2 separate regions of the Mus musculus genome follow, and region 2 is reported to be linked to region 1. Evidence: microRNA targets listed by miRTarBase, many of them from high-throughput screens and not tested one by one. Region 1 holds a microRNA gene; the other region holds the end of a gene's coding sequence.

What was found. Region 1 holds the annotated microRNA mmu-miR-301a-3p (CAGUGCAAUAGUAUUGUCAAAGC, at 2,884-2,906, opposite strand). A microRNA usually pairs through its seed, bases 2 to 8, with sites in the 3' UTR of a target mRNA and lowers its output. Matches are read on the target gene's strand: a 7mer-m8 pairs with bases 2 to 8, a 7mer-A1 pairs with bases 2 to 7 and ends in A, and an 8mer does both.
Region 2: the mRNA of Fgfr1op2 is a reported target of mmu-miR-301a-3p. Seed matches in the 3' UTR shown: 7mer-m8 at 5,857-5,863.

The regions. Positions count from the first base shown.
Region 1 is chr11:87,111,960-87,115,959 of GRCm38, reverse strand. It overlaps Mir301 (microRNA 301), which reads right to left and starts at 2,956; the gene lies at 2,871-2,956. The region is part of intron 1 of Ska2 (spindle and kinetochore associated complex subunit 2); the gene reads right to left.
Region 2 is chr6:146,592,574-146,605,384 of GRCm38, forward strand. Fgfr1op2 (FGFR1 oncogene partner 2) reads left to right here. Exons shown (of 7, transcript NM_026218.2): 5 at 61-174; 6 at 2,603-2,716; 7 at 4,722-6,625. The coding sequence ends at 4,859. Tm7sf3 (transmembrane 7 superfamily member 3) reads right to left here. Exons shown (of 12, transcript NM_026281.2): 12 at 9,703-11,448. The coding sequence ends at 11,186. Among named protein-coding and RNA genes, the nearest start is that of Fgfr1op2, 21 kb to the left of the region's middle.

The DNA.
Region 1 (4,000 bases):
AGCATTTGGGAGGCAGAGACAAGGGGATCTCTTTACATTTGAGGCCATCTTGGTCTTCAGAGCAAGTTCCAGAACAGCCAAGGCTACAAAAAGTAACCCTGTCTCCAAAAACAGAAGTATGTACAAGCCAGGCAGCGCTGGCTCACCCCTCTGATCCCAGCACATGGGAGGCAAAGTTTGACAACTCTCCGTGAGTTTGAGGCCGAGTTCAGGACAGCCAGGGCTACAGGGAAAAACCCTGACTCCTGGGTGAAAAAAAATGAACAAAACCAAACAAGCTTATAAAGCAAACACTATCCATTCTACTCTATCAAAACCTAAGGCTGACTATGCTGGATGGCAACATGAATCAGCAGGTAATGTTGCCTGCAGGCATGCCTGATGACCCGAGTTCAAACCCAAGATCCACATGGTGAAAGGAAAGACTTAAGCTTGCTTTGGTTGTTCTGTGACAGGGTTTAATGTAAACCAGGTAGACCTAGGGCTGGCTACAGCAGAAAATAAGTTTGAAATCCTAATCCTCCGGTTTACCCCTCTGGAGTGGCTGGAATTAGAGAGGCCACCTTCACTATCAGGCAGAGGTAGGATCCAGTCCCAGGGCCTCTGGTATGCCTCACCAAGCTACATCCATCTGAGAACCTACCTGGTGAACTTTAGGCCTCTACATGTGCCAGGGGCATGTGCACCACCACACACATGCATTAGCTGTTTTATACAGGGCTGTGTTAAATCGTGTTAAGCTTTCATTTGGGGGTTGGAGAGAGAATTCAGTGGTTAAGAGAGCTCTTAGTCTTGCAGAGCATCTAGGTTTGTTCCATTCTCAGCATCCACATGATTGCTCAAAACCAACTCTGAGTTTCAGAAGATCCAGTACCCTCTTCTGGCTTCCACAAGCTCCTGCACACATGTGAAGGACAGTCTCAAGCAAGCACACACATACACATAAAGATATTAAATACTTTACCAAAAATTTTTCTTTTAAATTTGTTTGTTTGTGTGTCTATGTTTGCCTTGCCATGTGTGTAAAGGAACCCACAGAGGCCACAAGAGAGTGTACAATCCTCTCAAGTTGGAATCACAAACTAAACTGCCCAACCTGGGTGCTGAGCCGAGAAGCAAACTCCAGTCCTCTGGAAAACAAGAAGGTCTTTGACCCCAGAGCCATCACTCCAGCCCCCAAACCACAAATCTCCAAGAAAAAAAAATTAGTGACATTAGATTGAGAAAAAAAAATGTGCGCATGTGTCTGCAGTTTGTGTATGCACGTATGTACGTATACCATGTACCATGCATGGACAGGAAGACTTTAAGACATTAAAAAACATATATCAGTTGCAAATAAGCACATGAAAAATATTCAATATCACTAAGAGGACTATGGAAAAGATTTTATCAAACTGTTTTTGCCTTTTGTGTGTTGGTGTGATTTTTCAAGCCATGCGTTCCTGAAACTCACTCTGCAGACTAGGTCTCAAACTCAGAGATTCACCACCACCCCCGGCCCACCTCCCAAGTGATGGGATTAAAGGCTATGCCGCCACCCAGTTGATTTTAGCAACTTCTCCTAATAGTCCCATTTCCCAGTATTTACACAAAAGAAATAAGAAATTATGGCCACGTAAAGACAATGCTTCCAACAAATTTATTCATAACAGGCAAAGCCTGGAAACAACCCAAGAAACACTTTGTCAGACTTTATACAATGGAATATACTCAACAATAAAAATGAATCAATTATCAACACATGCAACAAAGGCAAGATGGCAAAAGCACTTACAGTAAGTACAAGAATGCAAAACTAAAAGAACAAATACTGTGCTGGCCCAGTCAGAGTTCACAAAAGCACTGTTTGGAAGGAGACTGCAGACAGACACAGAGACTTTTGAAATGAAATGTAATGAAAATGTTTTATTATCTTAGTAGTGGAGGGAGTTACATTATGTATACATTTGCCAAAACTCATCAGTGTACACTTACATTTTTAGTTTTACTTACATAAAATGTGCATTAAACTTATTACCAAAAAGTGATGACTTCTGTATGGACAAAAGGATATACTGTGTGACACAATGTGACATACTCCAGCTTCTATGACAAGATTTTTTAATTCTATCTTTATTTTGTTTTGAGGAGGAAGTTGCAAGGGCAGAAAGCCGATACTAAGGGATGGGAAAATGAGTGGAATTGGAGGGCTGGGGTGCATGATGTGAAATTCACAGCCAATAAAAGTTTTTTTTAAAGTGATTTATATTTTATAGTTACAATAATCAAGCCTTTCTAAGTTTTAAGGATTTTATTATTCTGTGTTTGTATCAGTGTGTGTGTTTGTATTTGTGTGCCTGCAGAGACCAGAAGACAGCACGAAACTGCCTGGAGCTAGAGTTACAAGTGGCTGAGAGTGGCTACTAGATGTGGGTGCCGGGAAGGAAACTCAGGTCCTCTGTAGTGTTAACTGCTGGACCATCTCTCTAGTCCCCTCCCAAAGTGTTAAATTTAAGCATTTCTAATATAATACTAAAATGGACACTAAGATGTAAACCATTACCATAGTAAATAGACATGAGAGACTATCACTTACCAACTCATATAATAAGACCGAAGAGTTCCCAGAACCTATTCAAGTCTATTACAAAAAGAAGCAAATTACAAAGTACTATTCAGTTAGACAGGCCATTACTTCACAGCGTACAGTAATGAATTTTCAGTGCCATACAGAAATGATAAATGTTAATTTAATGATATTTTTTCAAATGATGACTTTCTAAAAAATATACATAGTAACAAAATTATACAGTTTTCCACACTGAAAGTTATAGAAACCTTTTCACAAATACTGAAGATGTAAGACAAGAACCAGGAAAGGTGTGCAACCTGCTCGCGGATGCTTTGACAATACTATTGCACTGCTCGCTGTAAAGTACAGTAGTGCAATAAAGTCAGAGCAGCCGTTAGCAGGAGTGAGCAGGAAAGGAATGCAAGGCTCAGTGTGCAAAGACCTTAAAGTTGAGTTGCCATTTTAGTCAGAAGACATCCAAAACCTAAAAACATTTATACCAGTATATTTTTGGAAGGGCAAAGGACCAAAGTGATAATTGGTTTTTGTTGACTAACCTGAAATTAGCAGCATTCAGACATAAACATGCACAGATGTAAAGGAATTTTGTAATATGTCCTGAGCCTTTAGTAGCTAACATGGGCATCATAAAAACTTTATAATTGATATTAACAAAATCAGCTGTAATTACTACTAAGGCAAATATGTGAAAAACTATGTTTTTTGCCTAAATGTAATGTTGGTTAACTCCTTTTCCAAAGCGTCTGGGTTACCTACCATAGAAAACAAGTCCTTTGAGTAATTACTTCAAAAAACAAATGAAAAGGATTCAGTGGTTAAGAGTATTTGTTCTTGGGTCCGAGTCCTAGCACACACTTGGTGGCTCAAAATCATCCATGAAGAGTTCCACAGGATCCAATGCCCTCTTCTGACTTCCTCAGGCACCAGGCACAAATGTGGTGCCGTCACAAACATGCAGGCAAAACACTCATATTCATAAAATAAATCTCAATAGAAAAAGAGAAATATACCTCTCTCAAACCTATATACCCAGTTGATCTCTATAGAATTTACTCACATGCACACATGTGCACACACACAAACACACTTAGGCAGCACTTAAATCTTGTGCTTTGGGGCTGGAAAGAGATCTCAGAAGTTAAGGGCAATGGTTGTTCTTCCACAGGTCCTGAGTTCTATTCCCAGCAACCACATGGTGGCTCACAACCCTCTGTTATGGGATCCGATGCCCTCTTCTGCTGTGTCTGAAGAGAGACAGTATACTCGCATACATAAAATAAACAAATCTTTTTTAAAAAAATCTTATTTTTTTTTTAATTCAAGAGTTTATTGAAGGCTACTATAACATGGGAAGCGATTATCAGGGAACCAGTATATTCTGAAGATGATGTTAGCCCAGCCTCACCTTTCATTCTTAAAATATCT
Region 2 (12,811 bases), not on the chromosome of region 1:
CACTCAGTTTATTGTGACGGATGAAATCCGTATTAACACTGTAATGACTCTGTACTACAGATTGACATGGTACATCGTAACAGCTGCGAAGGATTCTTCCTGGATGCATCTCGGCACATCCTTGAAGCACCTCAGCACGGACTGGAGAGGAGGCACTTGGAGGCAAATCAGAATGTACACTAAATCAAACAGCCAACTTTGGGGATGGACGGAAGTGGGGTCCATTTAAAAAGTTGTTTTACTTTGACTTGCCCTTCAGATTAGATCAGCAAATAAATGGAATCAATGAAAGAACGGTGTGCTTTTCATGGCCATGCTGCTGAGTCTAAGACGCTTCAGTTTGTCCCAAGTTCTCTGTGTTTCATGCACAGGATATAAGTAATTATACATATACATACATAAAATTTACATACATAAAACTACAAATAATGTCTTTGTGTGTATGTGTATATATGTATATATATGTGTGTATATATATACATACACACACAATGTGACAGAAACTTTCGAGATGTTTACCTACCATCCTTTTTTGCTCTTGCTAGACGCTGCTGAAGTTTTTGTTATAAAACTGTGTATTTTTAAATGTTTTCTTACTCAGAAGGCAGAGGCAGGGAGATCATTGTGAGTCTGAGGCCAGATTGATCTACATAGTACGTTCCAGGCTAGCCAGAGTTATGCAGTAAGACCCTGTCTAAAAAAAGAAAACTGTATTTTCTTTATAATAACTTTAAGCCTATTAGTATAAAAGGGCTGGTCCATCAAACTTGAAACTTTTAATTTAGATCTTTAATTATTTGCAGTCCTTTTGTTTGATTTCACAAATAGGAAAACCTTTTGTGCAGACATAGCTGTACATAGTGATGCTCTCTGCCTGTGTCTTAAGTTTTGTTGCTGCAGAGTAGGAATAAACAGACATAGAAGTGAGCAGTGTGTCAAGACAGCTGTGTTGGTGCCTGGGCTTCAGAGCGTATAGCTCTTGCTTTGTGTCCCTTAAAAGCAGTGGGACCCTCACAGCTAGTGAGTAAGTCGTTCACGGGGCCTCTATTTCATGCAAAGTATGCTTTGTTTCTTCCGGGTGGTCTTGTTAAAACAGACAGTACTAAAAACTAAAAACAGACAGTACTAAAAAATCAACATTTCATTTCATTCATTTCATTCATTTTAAAGGCAAGAAATTATTGGCTTCCTATGTTCCTTTTAAGCCTATGCTAGTGCCACAGTTGTGACTACATTATAAACTGAGAAAGCCATTGGTATTCAAAATTTCTTACCATCATTCAGCTATTCAATTTCTGTACTGTGTCCTCTGTAACAGGCATCTTAGTGACCTTGCAGTATGGCAGACAATGGTAACTCCTTGCTTTGGTAACAGCTTTGCTACCACAGGCTAATCCAGGGCTGTCCAGTAGACCATAGAGGGTATCTGTGTATCATGTGGAAGGTACTTATCCACATATCACCATTAACCACTTAAAAGTGTTGTACAAGTGAGAGACAGGATTACTAATTTTTAACGTACTTAGTTTTTATTTTAATTGCACTGTACTAGACAAAGCAGATTAGTTCTTTATTGTGTCTTCTGAGTGCTATGTACAAAGATTTCTCCATTAAGACAAAGGTATAACCTCCATTAAGGGTGTAGCCCTGGATTCATTCTCCAGAACCAAAAACATGCAAGATTATTCAGTGGGACTGGAGCGTAGCTCAGTGATAGGATGCTCTTGCAGTTTAATAGTTATGTGGGTTCTTTAAGGTCTTGATCAAATCCTTTCTATAACCATCCAACTATCTAAAAGACTTGATGTTCATTTGGAATTTTTTTTCATTGACTTTTCATTATTTTTTTGTATTAATATTAGCAAGGTGATTATTCTCAGGCTTCTGTTCAATTTTTAAACCCCTTTGTCTCCTTTACTGAACAAAGCTCATAAGGTTAGGGGAGGTATATTGAGAGGAACTGTTGCCTGGCTTACTGCTTGACACATCATAGATATGTAAAAAACAAGGAATGAGATTGAAAGAAATTGTAAAACTGATAATATGGGTATCTAATATAGTGAAATTAATTCTATTTTCATCACGTGGGAAAAAAATGCCACTTTGTGTTTTAATACTCCATAGCACTTTGTTCATTTTACATAATAATTCTTAAACAACAAACACTAGATAAGTAACAGACGGATGTAAACAATATTCTTCTTACTCTCAAGGAGGATTGGTTGAGTTGAATCAGCTTATATGCATTAATACTACAGAGGAGACTGAGTCACGCAGACTTCAGGGAAGAAGAAATAGCATGTGTGCCAACAGTTTTTAATCTTTCCCCTTTTACCACAGTACATGTAGATGTGAAAAAGAAATCTTCCTGGTCATTGTGATAAATGTGAATAAGTATTTTGCTATGGGGTTGAGTTATATTGCGATACATATCCTTAATACTAATCTTAACACCTGATGTCCACCAGTTTGTTATGATTCATGTTAAGAGGCCACATAAGGACATCACACTTTTGTTAGGTGGCAGTGCGGTTCTATCAAAAGAGACAACTCAAACCTAGTAAAGTCTTCCTCTCATCTCCACATCCACCCTTTCTTCCAGGAGTTGCAAGCACATGTTGACCAAATCACCGAGATGGCAGCAGTAATGAGAAAAGCTATTGAAATTGACGAGCAGCAGGGTTGCAAGGAACAGGAGCGGATATTTCAACTTGAAGTGAGTTTTAAACTTTAAATCAAATATGGGTTGAAAGTATGGCTGAAAACATTCAACCAGAGAACATTCCAGTCTTAACACCCACACTCTTTAAGTTGGTGGTCATGAGTTCTGAATCTGAATGCTGGTAACAGCCAGTGGAATAGACCACTGGGTAGTAATGTCAGAGTCTGGGGTCCGCAGGGATGCATAAGTATACCAGTAGCTGACAAAGTTGATTGTTAAACTAGGCATAGTGGCACTCGCCTTTAATCCCAGCATTTGAGAGAGAGAAGCAGGCGGATTTCTGAGTTCAAGGCCAGCCTGGTCTACAGCGCGAGTTCCCGGACAGTCAGAGCTGCACAGAGAAACCCTGTCTTGAAAAGAAAAGGTTGAGTTTTGATTCTGCATTGTGTTCATATATATCTGAGTTTTTAAAATTATGAAATTGAAGAAATATATGCATATGAATTCATTCACATATATATGAATTTCTTCAATTTCATAATTTTAAAATTTCAGTTCTTTGTGCTAGAGATCATAATGATATAAAAAAATTATAATGCACAAATAATGCCAGGCGTGGTGCTCCTTTAATTCTAGCACTTGGGAAGGAGAGGCAGGAGGATCAGGAAGGTTAGCCTCAGCTCTCCAGTGGGTAAACAGCTTAACTATGAAGCAGGAGGACCTGACTCTGGATCCAACACCATTGTAAAGGTCAGGTACAATGGCTAGCTGGAACAGTAAGTTCCAGGTTCAACAGGAAACCCCATCTCAGCCGGGTGTGGTGGTGCACGCCTTTAATCCCAGCACTCGGGAGGCAGAGGCAGGCGGATTTCTGAGTTCGAGGCCAGCCTGGTCTACAAAGTGAGTTCCAGGACAGCCAGGGCTACACAGAGAAACCCTGTCTCAAAAAAAAAAAAAGAAACCCTATCTCAAAAAAGAAAGTAGATTGCAACAGAGGAAGACTCCTGGCTTCAGCTTTTTGTCTTCAAATGTACATACACACATAGAACAGATACACCCAGAAAATACAATTTAAATCAATTTGCTTGGAATCATGATCAGGAAATTTCCTATGGATGGCCATAAAACCTACCTGTCTTGGAGCATATAGTACTCTCCCATTTATATAATAAGGGTAGGTCAGCTTTCTCAGCAAAGGACCAGAAAGCATTTTGGACTTTGCAAACTAGTCAGTTTATATCTGCTCAACTTCGTTGTGGTAATGCAAAAGGAGAAAGTCAGAACTATGCTCAGAAACAACCCTTGGGCCAGACCATTGAGACTTGAAAAGTAAGCCCACAACAGCTGTAGAGAATAGATTATAAAATGACAAAATTGCTTACAATATTAACCATTTACATATCTTTCTGAAAAATAATTACCTCAGCTGGTCTTGGCTGAACTTAAATTTTGCTGAGGGAAACATACCTACTAACTTCTATTGAGTGATGAAATCTACCTCAAAGTCTTAGTCATATAAACTTATCCCTAGCGCGAGTGTAGATGGGTATTTTATATACACACATATCATCTCCAGTCTGTGCAGAACAAGCTGATTTCTGCCTGGTCACCTGTTGCCTCTGCACACCTTAAGGCTTCCAGCAGTGAGGAGGCTGAGTACTGATGCTGCATCTTAAACACCATTTGAAATCTGGCTTTGTCTTTTGTTTCTTAGATCAAGTCTCACTGTGTAGCCCTGGCTGGCCTAGAACCCTCATGCAAACTAGAAAGCCCTCAGATTCATAGAGATCCCCCTGCCTTTGCCTACCAACTGCTGGGATTAAAGGCAGGTGTCACCACACCAGGCTTTGAAATCTGTTTAGATTGAGGTTGTGACTGCCTGTAACTCATAGTATATCTATCCATTTATGTGTTATAGAGTCTGCTTTCTGTGCCACACTTCATAAAATTGGCTTTTAAAATATGTATCCCTCTTGGAGCTGTCTTAAGGGACTCAGCCAAACCAGCAGTTTCTGTTTCTGCATGTTTCTCATCTTGGGTTTTCCTTATTTTCTTACAGCAAGAAAATAAAGGCTTGAGAGAGATCCTTCAGATAACTCGAGAATCCTTTTTGAACCTTCGGAAGGATGATGCGTCAGAGAGTACGTCTCTATCTGCCTTAGTGACTAACAGTGACCTGAGTCTGAGGAAGAGCTGAGTGGCTTTCTGTGCGGTCACTAGAATGGGCCCAGAAGTGAGTGGATGAGTGAACATAAAGCCCAACTTCAGTCAGCCTTTTCCGTCTGGTATGTACAGGGACACTGGCAAAGAGACGGCAGCAGAATGTATAACCAGTGGTCATAAACTAGATCCCAGTCACAGTCAGAAAGGAGACGCTGAGCCACAGAGTGAACAGCGAGTCTTCAAGGTGCTGCTGAGCACTGCAGTTTCAGAAGTGCTGTTGGCTTCTTAGATGCTACATAGATCACCCTGAATACTCCTAATAAATGTTGGAAAGCCTAAATTATCACAATTTTAAAAGTAAGGTTGGTGTGGTTTTCTGAATGGAAGACTTTGTTCTAAGTCTTACCTTCCTGTTCAGTGTCAGAGTTGGCATAGCTTGTGTACATAAAGCTGCTGAGTTGGTGCTCACCTGCCCATTTGCTCGGCCCTCATCAAAGGCAGTTCATGTTTAAAGACTATAGGAATACGTCACTTGCATCACAAACAGAAGGAACATACTTACACCTAATTCCCATAACTCTTAGCTAGCAGTTATTCACGACTTGCTTAAGTGTATGCATCTCAGGAAAGAAAGACAAAGAATATACTTTCTAAGAAAGACAGCCATATATAGACACATTTAGTAGGTTGAACTACTTTGAAAGATTATGTTTTGGTTCTCTGTTAACAATGAACCTGGTTCTTCCTCCTCTTTTCATCATGTTTAAGGATACAAGACAGTTCACCAATAGACAAGAGTTGACAATTTAATGTAATGAGATAGGTATGGTCATTTCCAAGTTAATTTGGAATTCCTTTATTGTTATTTAAGAAATTACTCTTCATACACTTACAAAGTAGATACAGGTTCCAAAAATCAAAGTTCTGAGTCTGAGTCTAAGCCTCATCTAGTTCTTATAACCTGTGAGGTTTTTCCTACAACCTGTGACTCAGAAACTGGCAGTGAAGTGTGGACACAAAGGGATTGTGCTTTGCACTTTAAAAAAAAAAAAAGCTTCTTAAGGCCACAGGATACAGAAGTGTGCTTTCATACCAACTGCAACCTAAACTTTTCTGTAGTGATAAGAATAAAAGATTATGAGATATGGCTGAAAATACACTATACTTGTATCTGAAGTCCATACTGAAATTAGCACAGACAGAAAGTTAGACTTTTCAATATATCATTTGTTAAGTACATATTACTTTGCAGTGTAATTTTATGTGTAATTTCATGTATTGGCAAAATTAAAAGGACTTTTCACTCCAGAACCTTTCATTCTGAAGTTTGAGGTGAGTGGGGTCATAGGTCAGTTAGGAAAGGGCCAGTTCCCCAGATGTTAAACCGTTCTCATGCAGAGGCCTTAATATTTTATATATAAGTGAATTTACTTTTAAGATTTTTCTATTGTTTTTTGGAAAGTAACCCTTAATTTAATGGTACTTTCTTTCATGTAGTTTTGTCCCAGGCCAGAATTTTAAAAAGAAGAAAAGCGGCACAGACGAGATGAGTCAGATCGATGTATTGAGCAGGTCTATTGTGAAACGTTATTTGAGAAGTAATTATTTTTATAAAAAATTATTTATCCTTTGTTTTCTTGGATATAATTTTAAGGTTGTGAATATTGAAAGACATTTGCTTTGTTTTTAGCAAGTTTTCCACCCCACCCCCATCCCCAAAATAAACAGCTTTAAGCTTACATATGAGAGTGTGCTGAAGAGGAGCCTATTTTGTCAATAAAGATGAGTGTTTAAAACTGGTCTGGTCTCAGGGTTAATTTAAAAACAAAGCTCACATTTCTTAAATATACTTTGTGTCTTTGCTGAGGGGATAGGTGGTGCTAGGGTTTAAACCCAGAACTTTATATACAAGAGCTCTTCTAAGCTGCATACTCAGCTCTTCAGCCTATTTGGGGGGGGGGGGGGCGGGTAGAGGGAGGGGCTGTTTGTGCCAGTGCATTTGTGGGTATGTGAGTGCATGTGTGTTTGTGCACATAACATGCCTTATTCCTGTATAGTGCTGTGACTCCCCTCAATTTTTCCAAGGTCTCACCCAGTCTATAACCTGCATAATATTTTAATGCCCCGGGACTCTCAGACTCTCAGACTTACAGCTCCTGCTTAGAGTTCTCATAACCTCCACACTAATCTGTGTGTAACTACCATAGAGACATTTCAGGCTGAAATTGCCCAAAGCCAAACTCCTCATCCCCAAACTTCTAAAGTGTTCCCCATCCTTGCAGGGCACCTTAGACTTTAGTTTCTTTTATATCTTGCATTGAATTTGTTAGCACGTCCTGCTGGCTGTTTATGCAGGAACATACCTGCTAGCCCTAGTCCAAGCCACAGCAGAGTAGATAATAACATTCACCCTTAGGCTAGGCAGTGGTGGCACACACCTTTGATCCCAGCACTTGTGTGGCTGAAGCAGGTGGATCTCTGGGAGTTTGAGGCTAGCCTAGTAGACAAAATGAATTCTAGGACACCCAGGGCTAAACCATGTCTCCAAAAAAAAAAAAAAAGAACAAAAACAAAAACTAAGAAATCATTGTCAGGACACTTGGTGTAGTATAAAGCAACAGAAAAACCAAAGGCCACATAATAAAAGTGTTAAGTTACACACCTACAGGGCTTGGGAGGTGGCTCAGTTGAGACAGTGCTTGCTCTACAAATATGAGGGCCTGCTCTTGTATTCCTCGAACTTATACAAAAAGCACTGTGACAAAGCCTAGAATTAGGGCCTAAACAGTTCTCAGGATCCTGGGGAAATTCAGGTGGAGGCTGACTTGGATCAGCAGGCTTGGCCACTTTGACTCCAGCATTCTGGTGACTAGGCTCCATTCATTTCTTCAGCAAGCCCATGTGCTTAACCTGGTTTCCCCAGTGCTTGCTTTAAGCTGAGCCTCCTTTGCTTCCCATCTGTGTGGATACTCAAATTGAAGATTTAAAAAAAACAAAACAGTACAGTGTAGGCATTCCATATATACCTCTGTATGTGCTGTGAGTCTTGTTTAAATCACTAGATATTTAATAGCTCTTATTCTTATCTGGAGAAGGCATTTGAGCTAGAACCTGGCAGGGCCTTGCACAGTCTTTACCACAGAGCACATCCTCAGGCCAGGCCACATTCATCTTTACCCTTTATCTTTAAAGGAGAGTGAAGGTGTAACCACAAATATAACTAGCCAGTCAGTCTCTTCCCACAACCTCATTCCCGACCCAGAACTTACTGTACATTTCCTCTGGGTCAGAAACCTGCCTAGTTATTTTTTAAGGTGTATGTACGAACAGCTGAAATTGTACAGGAATTGTTTAAATATAAATAGTTGTCTGTGCATGTGGGACACATGCCACAGTGCACACATGCCTTGGCACATGCTCTGGAGACCAGAAGATGATTCTGTGGCAACAGTCCTCTCCTTCCACCTTTATGAGCTGCAGGGACTGACTTCAGGTCTCCAGATTTGAGGTCAGGTGCCTTTACTCCCTGGGCCATTTGTGAATGAACCACATTTTCTTTATCCATTCCCCAGTTGAGGGACATCTAGCAGCTATTACAAATAAGGCTGCTATGAACATGGTTGAGCAAGTGTCCTTGTGGTATGGTGGAGCATCTTTTGGGATATGTGCCCAAGAGCGGTATAGCTGGGTCTTCTGGTAGAACTATTTCCAATTTTCTGAGAAACCACCAAACTGATTCCCAGAGTGGTTGTAAAGGTTTGCACTCCAGCCAGCAAAGGAGGAATGTTTCTCCACATCCTCATCAGTTTAGTTCTGTATTAGGGAAGATTAGATATTGGAGGTGGATGGAGGGAGGGAACTGACTGGGTAAGGGGATGGGGGAAGCAACGGGGTGGGGGTGGGGGTAGGAATCAGGTGTAGGGAGAGCAAACAAGAGAACAGAAATTGGTGGTGAGCAGTGGCAGGGCATCTCCAGGACCTGCTAGAGAGTCTATGGGGGTAACTAGCTGAGACTCATAGTGGCGGGAGATATGGAGCCTGAATTGGCTACCTCCTATAGCCAGTCAGGACTCCCAACAACCCACACACAAAACTTTAGCCCAAAACTTGTCCTACCTACAAGATGTGTACAAAGATGGAGCGAGACTAAGGGAATGGCCCAACTTGAGACCCATCCCATGGGCAAGAACCACCAGTCCCTGACACTAATTAATGATGCTCTGTTTATGCTTGCAGACAGGAGCCTAGCATTACTGTCCTCTGAGAGGTCCCACCCAGAAGCCAATGGAAAGAGATGCAGAGACCCACAGCCAAACATTAGATGGTTACATGAAGCACAGGGAGTCTTGTAGAAGTGTTGAGGTACTGATGGGCTCAAAGGGGATAGGAACTCGACAGGAAGACCAACAGAGTCAACACACCTGGACCCTGGGGGCTCCCAGAAACTGATTCACCACCAAAAGAGCAAGCATGGGCTGGACCTAGGCCCTCCACACATATGTGCAGATGTGCAGCTTGGTCTCCAACAAATGGAGCAGAGTGGAGCGGGGAAGGCTTACCCTGACTCTTGCCTGTCTGTGGATTCTATTCCCCCAGCTGGGCTGCCTTGTCTGGCCTCAATGAGCTGCGCCTAGTCCTGCAATGACTTGATGTTCCAGGGTGGGGTGATAGCCAAAGGACCTCCTCCTCTGAGGAGAAGAATAGGGGATGGGGGAAGGAGCTGTGGGAGGGGGGGGCTGATATTGGGATGTAAAGTCAATAAATAATGAAAAAAAATGAGTAAATACATTTAAATCTACATAAACCATAACATATCACCCTGGATTCCCTTCACTTCCTGTTATCCTTAAGTGAAGTTCTTAAAACAACTGTATTTTCCAGATTAAATTTATATAAGTACATACAAGACTGGTATAAACTCCTGGAGACATCCTAATAAGGAGGACATTAAGCATTTTTTTCAAAGTAGGTATTTATTACAAAAATTATACAAATGGTATTAAAAATTATGAAAATTTACAAATATTTTGTATTTCCCTCCGAGAAAGCATACTCTGCCTTTTTTAGCTCTGACTGGCAGTGTGTTCCGACAGTACAAAGAATAGTTCTCCAACAATCTGTACAACTAAAATGCAAGCATGTGACAAGCCAGAAACCCTATAGCAATTAAAATATATATATATATTGCTGAAGCTAGGTAGTAATAACAGAATAGGATTTTCAGAAATAAACCAAAAGGGGTTCATTTTATAATTTTTCATTATGTTTTAACTTCAGAACCTTTTTTCAAAGCCACAACTGAAGACTCCACCCACTCCCTGAAATGTCAAGGCTATAGTCATTGCTGTGAAGAGACTAAGAAGCACACCACTGACAAACCAGCGCACTGTGGGCCACACACGTCAGGGAAGCCAGTTCTCAGCCCTGCCGTTCAGAGGAGTCAAGAGCATGTCCCTCCTTACAGAACCCATGGTGGTGGCTAAGTGATCAATCCCTCTGAGCTTCAGAGCACAGGGGCTTTGATTATACAGAGCAATCATTAGCACAACTTCACAGGTGCTAGGAAGGTCTCATTGATGTCTCTCTGACAAAATACGGTCCAGTCACCGTCTAATGCAACCTAAGAAAGAAGGGTCAGCAGCCAACACTGCTCTAAATGGCCCCAACACAAAATGGGCTATAAATAACTTACTCATATAAAAGTTTTATTATCTTTAATAAACTGAGCTATTTTAGATTACAGAAAAAATTTAGTTATTTACCACTTAAAGCACTAACTGGCAAAACAACAGGAAATCTACATTGTTACGTGTTAGGATAATTTGCCAGTTTTTAAAATAAATCGTTTGAATATTGAAAATAAATGAAAAGGGTTCCTGATTTTATTATAAGATGCAGCCAAATATAATCAGACTGCTTTTAAGGAAAAGGGGGGTTACTTTTCCCTTAGTCTTGACATTCAAGGACCCAAATCAAATCCCTAAACTTCTACACACAAAGCGAATAAATACCCACTGCCTGCCTCCCCTCCACAGGTTCTGACTGAGTCATAACTGTCCAAGAAGCTACAAGAACAAAACACTAGGGCTTCAAGGAGACATTTTTATTTTTTGGTGTATTTTATAAAAGACATCAATCATCAAAAGGTAACTTCTCAAGACTGTGGAAAATGAGGAAAAACATCTACGGCCAACTTTTTGGAGACTTTTCTCACCATATCACTTAGAATCCTCTAACTCCACTGCTGTACATCCACGGGGGCGTCACCCTGTCACCCACCCTGGCTGGCCCTGCATGGACCTGGGACAACTGGGCAGTCTAGACGAGAACTCCAGGGCAAGCACACTGACCCTCAGCCTTCTACAGAAGCAAGGGTGTCCTCTCTCCAGCCGGCTGTTCCTTCTGGAAGAGCTCTTTGATCCGAGCAACCCGACCATAAAGCCTCTCTCTCAGGGGAGGGATGTGATGGCTGGGGTCCAGGATGTTGGTCACTCTGCGTTCTCTCTCTTGCTTCCATAGCTTGTAGGGGTGGGGAGGGAAAGGCGGCTGTCCTCTTTCTCTTCGAATCTGAAGTGTAATTCCACTGACAGCCAGCATCCCCCACACGGCCAGGATGATGTAGTCTAAAGGAGAGAAGTATCCTTTGTACTCAGGGGATTCTGTGTTGTGGGTTGGTTTTGCTTTTCAGTATATGTCTCAAGATATAGCCCAGACTAGCCCTAAACTTATGGCAATCCTCCTGCCTTCTATTGAATACCAAGATTATAGACATGCGCCATCAAGTCAGCAGTTTTTGTGTGGTGTGTGTGGAGGCCAGTGTGGGTGGCAAGTGTCCTCTCCTATTGCTCCTCTGTTGCTCTCCATCTTACTGTTTGGACAGGCGCCTGTCCCATTGAACCAGCAAGCCCCGCTAACTGTAGTTGCTTATGCACGCTCTCACACTCAGCGTTTTGTTTTGTTTTGTTATTTTGTTTTTCAAGACAGGGTTTCTCTGTATAGCCCTGGCTGACCTGGAACTCACTTTGTAGACCAGGCTGGCCTTGAACTCAGAAATCCACCTGCCTCTGCCTCCCAAGTGCTGGGATTAAAGGTGTGCGCCACCACTGCCCGGCTCACGCCGGCTTTTTACTTGGGGATCTGAACTTGGGTCCTCACAACACAGAGCAAGCACCTTACCCACTGAGCCACCCATCCTGGCCCCAACTTCTTTTTCTTTCTCTTTCCTTGTTCCTTTTCTCTCTTTCCTCCCTCACACCCTTTTATTCTTTTATTTTTTTAATTTTTCAAGATGGTGGTCTTAATTCCATAGTCAGTCCTGACCTGGAACTCACTATGAGCCCTTGCTGGCCTCAAATTTGTGGCCATCCTCCTGCTTCAGTTTCCTGAGTGCTAGGAGTGAAGCTGTGTAGGAACACGCCTGGTTCTGAACTGTTTAACATTTAGTGTGCACCAGCGCTTCCCCTTCACGTGCTAAATGCATGTCTTCCTTTCAATTTTGGACATATGTCCAAATGTATCTCCTCACTTACAAGCCAAGGCACAAGGAGACACGACAGTAGCTTCTTCTACTACAGACATCCAGAAAGTTGAAGCAGGGAGTGAAAGCTGGCTGTGTAGCTTCCTGGAGCTTCCATGTGCAGTGCCTGCAGACATGGCTGCCCTAGCTACTCTCTACATACTCCCAGGGGGGTTGGATGCTTACATGGATGGGACGCAAGACAATGTGAGTTGACACCCCAGATTCCACCAAGCATCCAACAAAGACATAGCTCTGGGAATGCCATTGCCTGGACTGTGTGCAGACTTTCCAGTGTGGCTGCCTTGGGCTCACCCAAGCTCTTAAAGACAACCTCTTCCCCAGACTCTAATTAAGCCCAATAAACTCACTGCTTCTCACAGGGAACTCTGGTGGAACCAACCTTAGGTTGAGACCTTAGAAGGTCATGGGTAGACACTTCCTTAGACCCCACACCCCCAGGGAGAAAA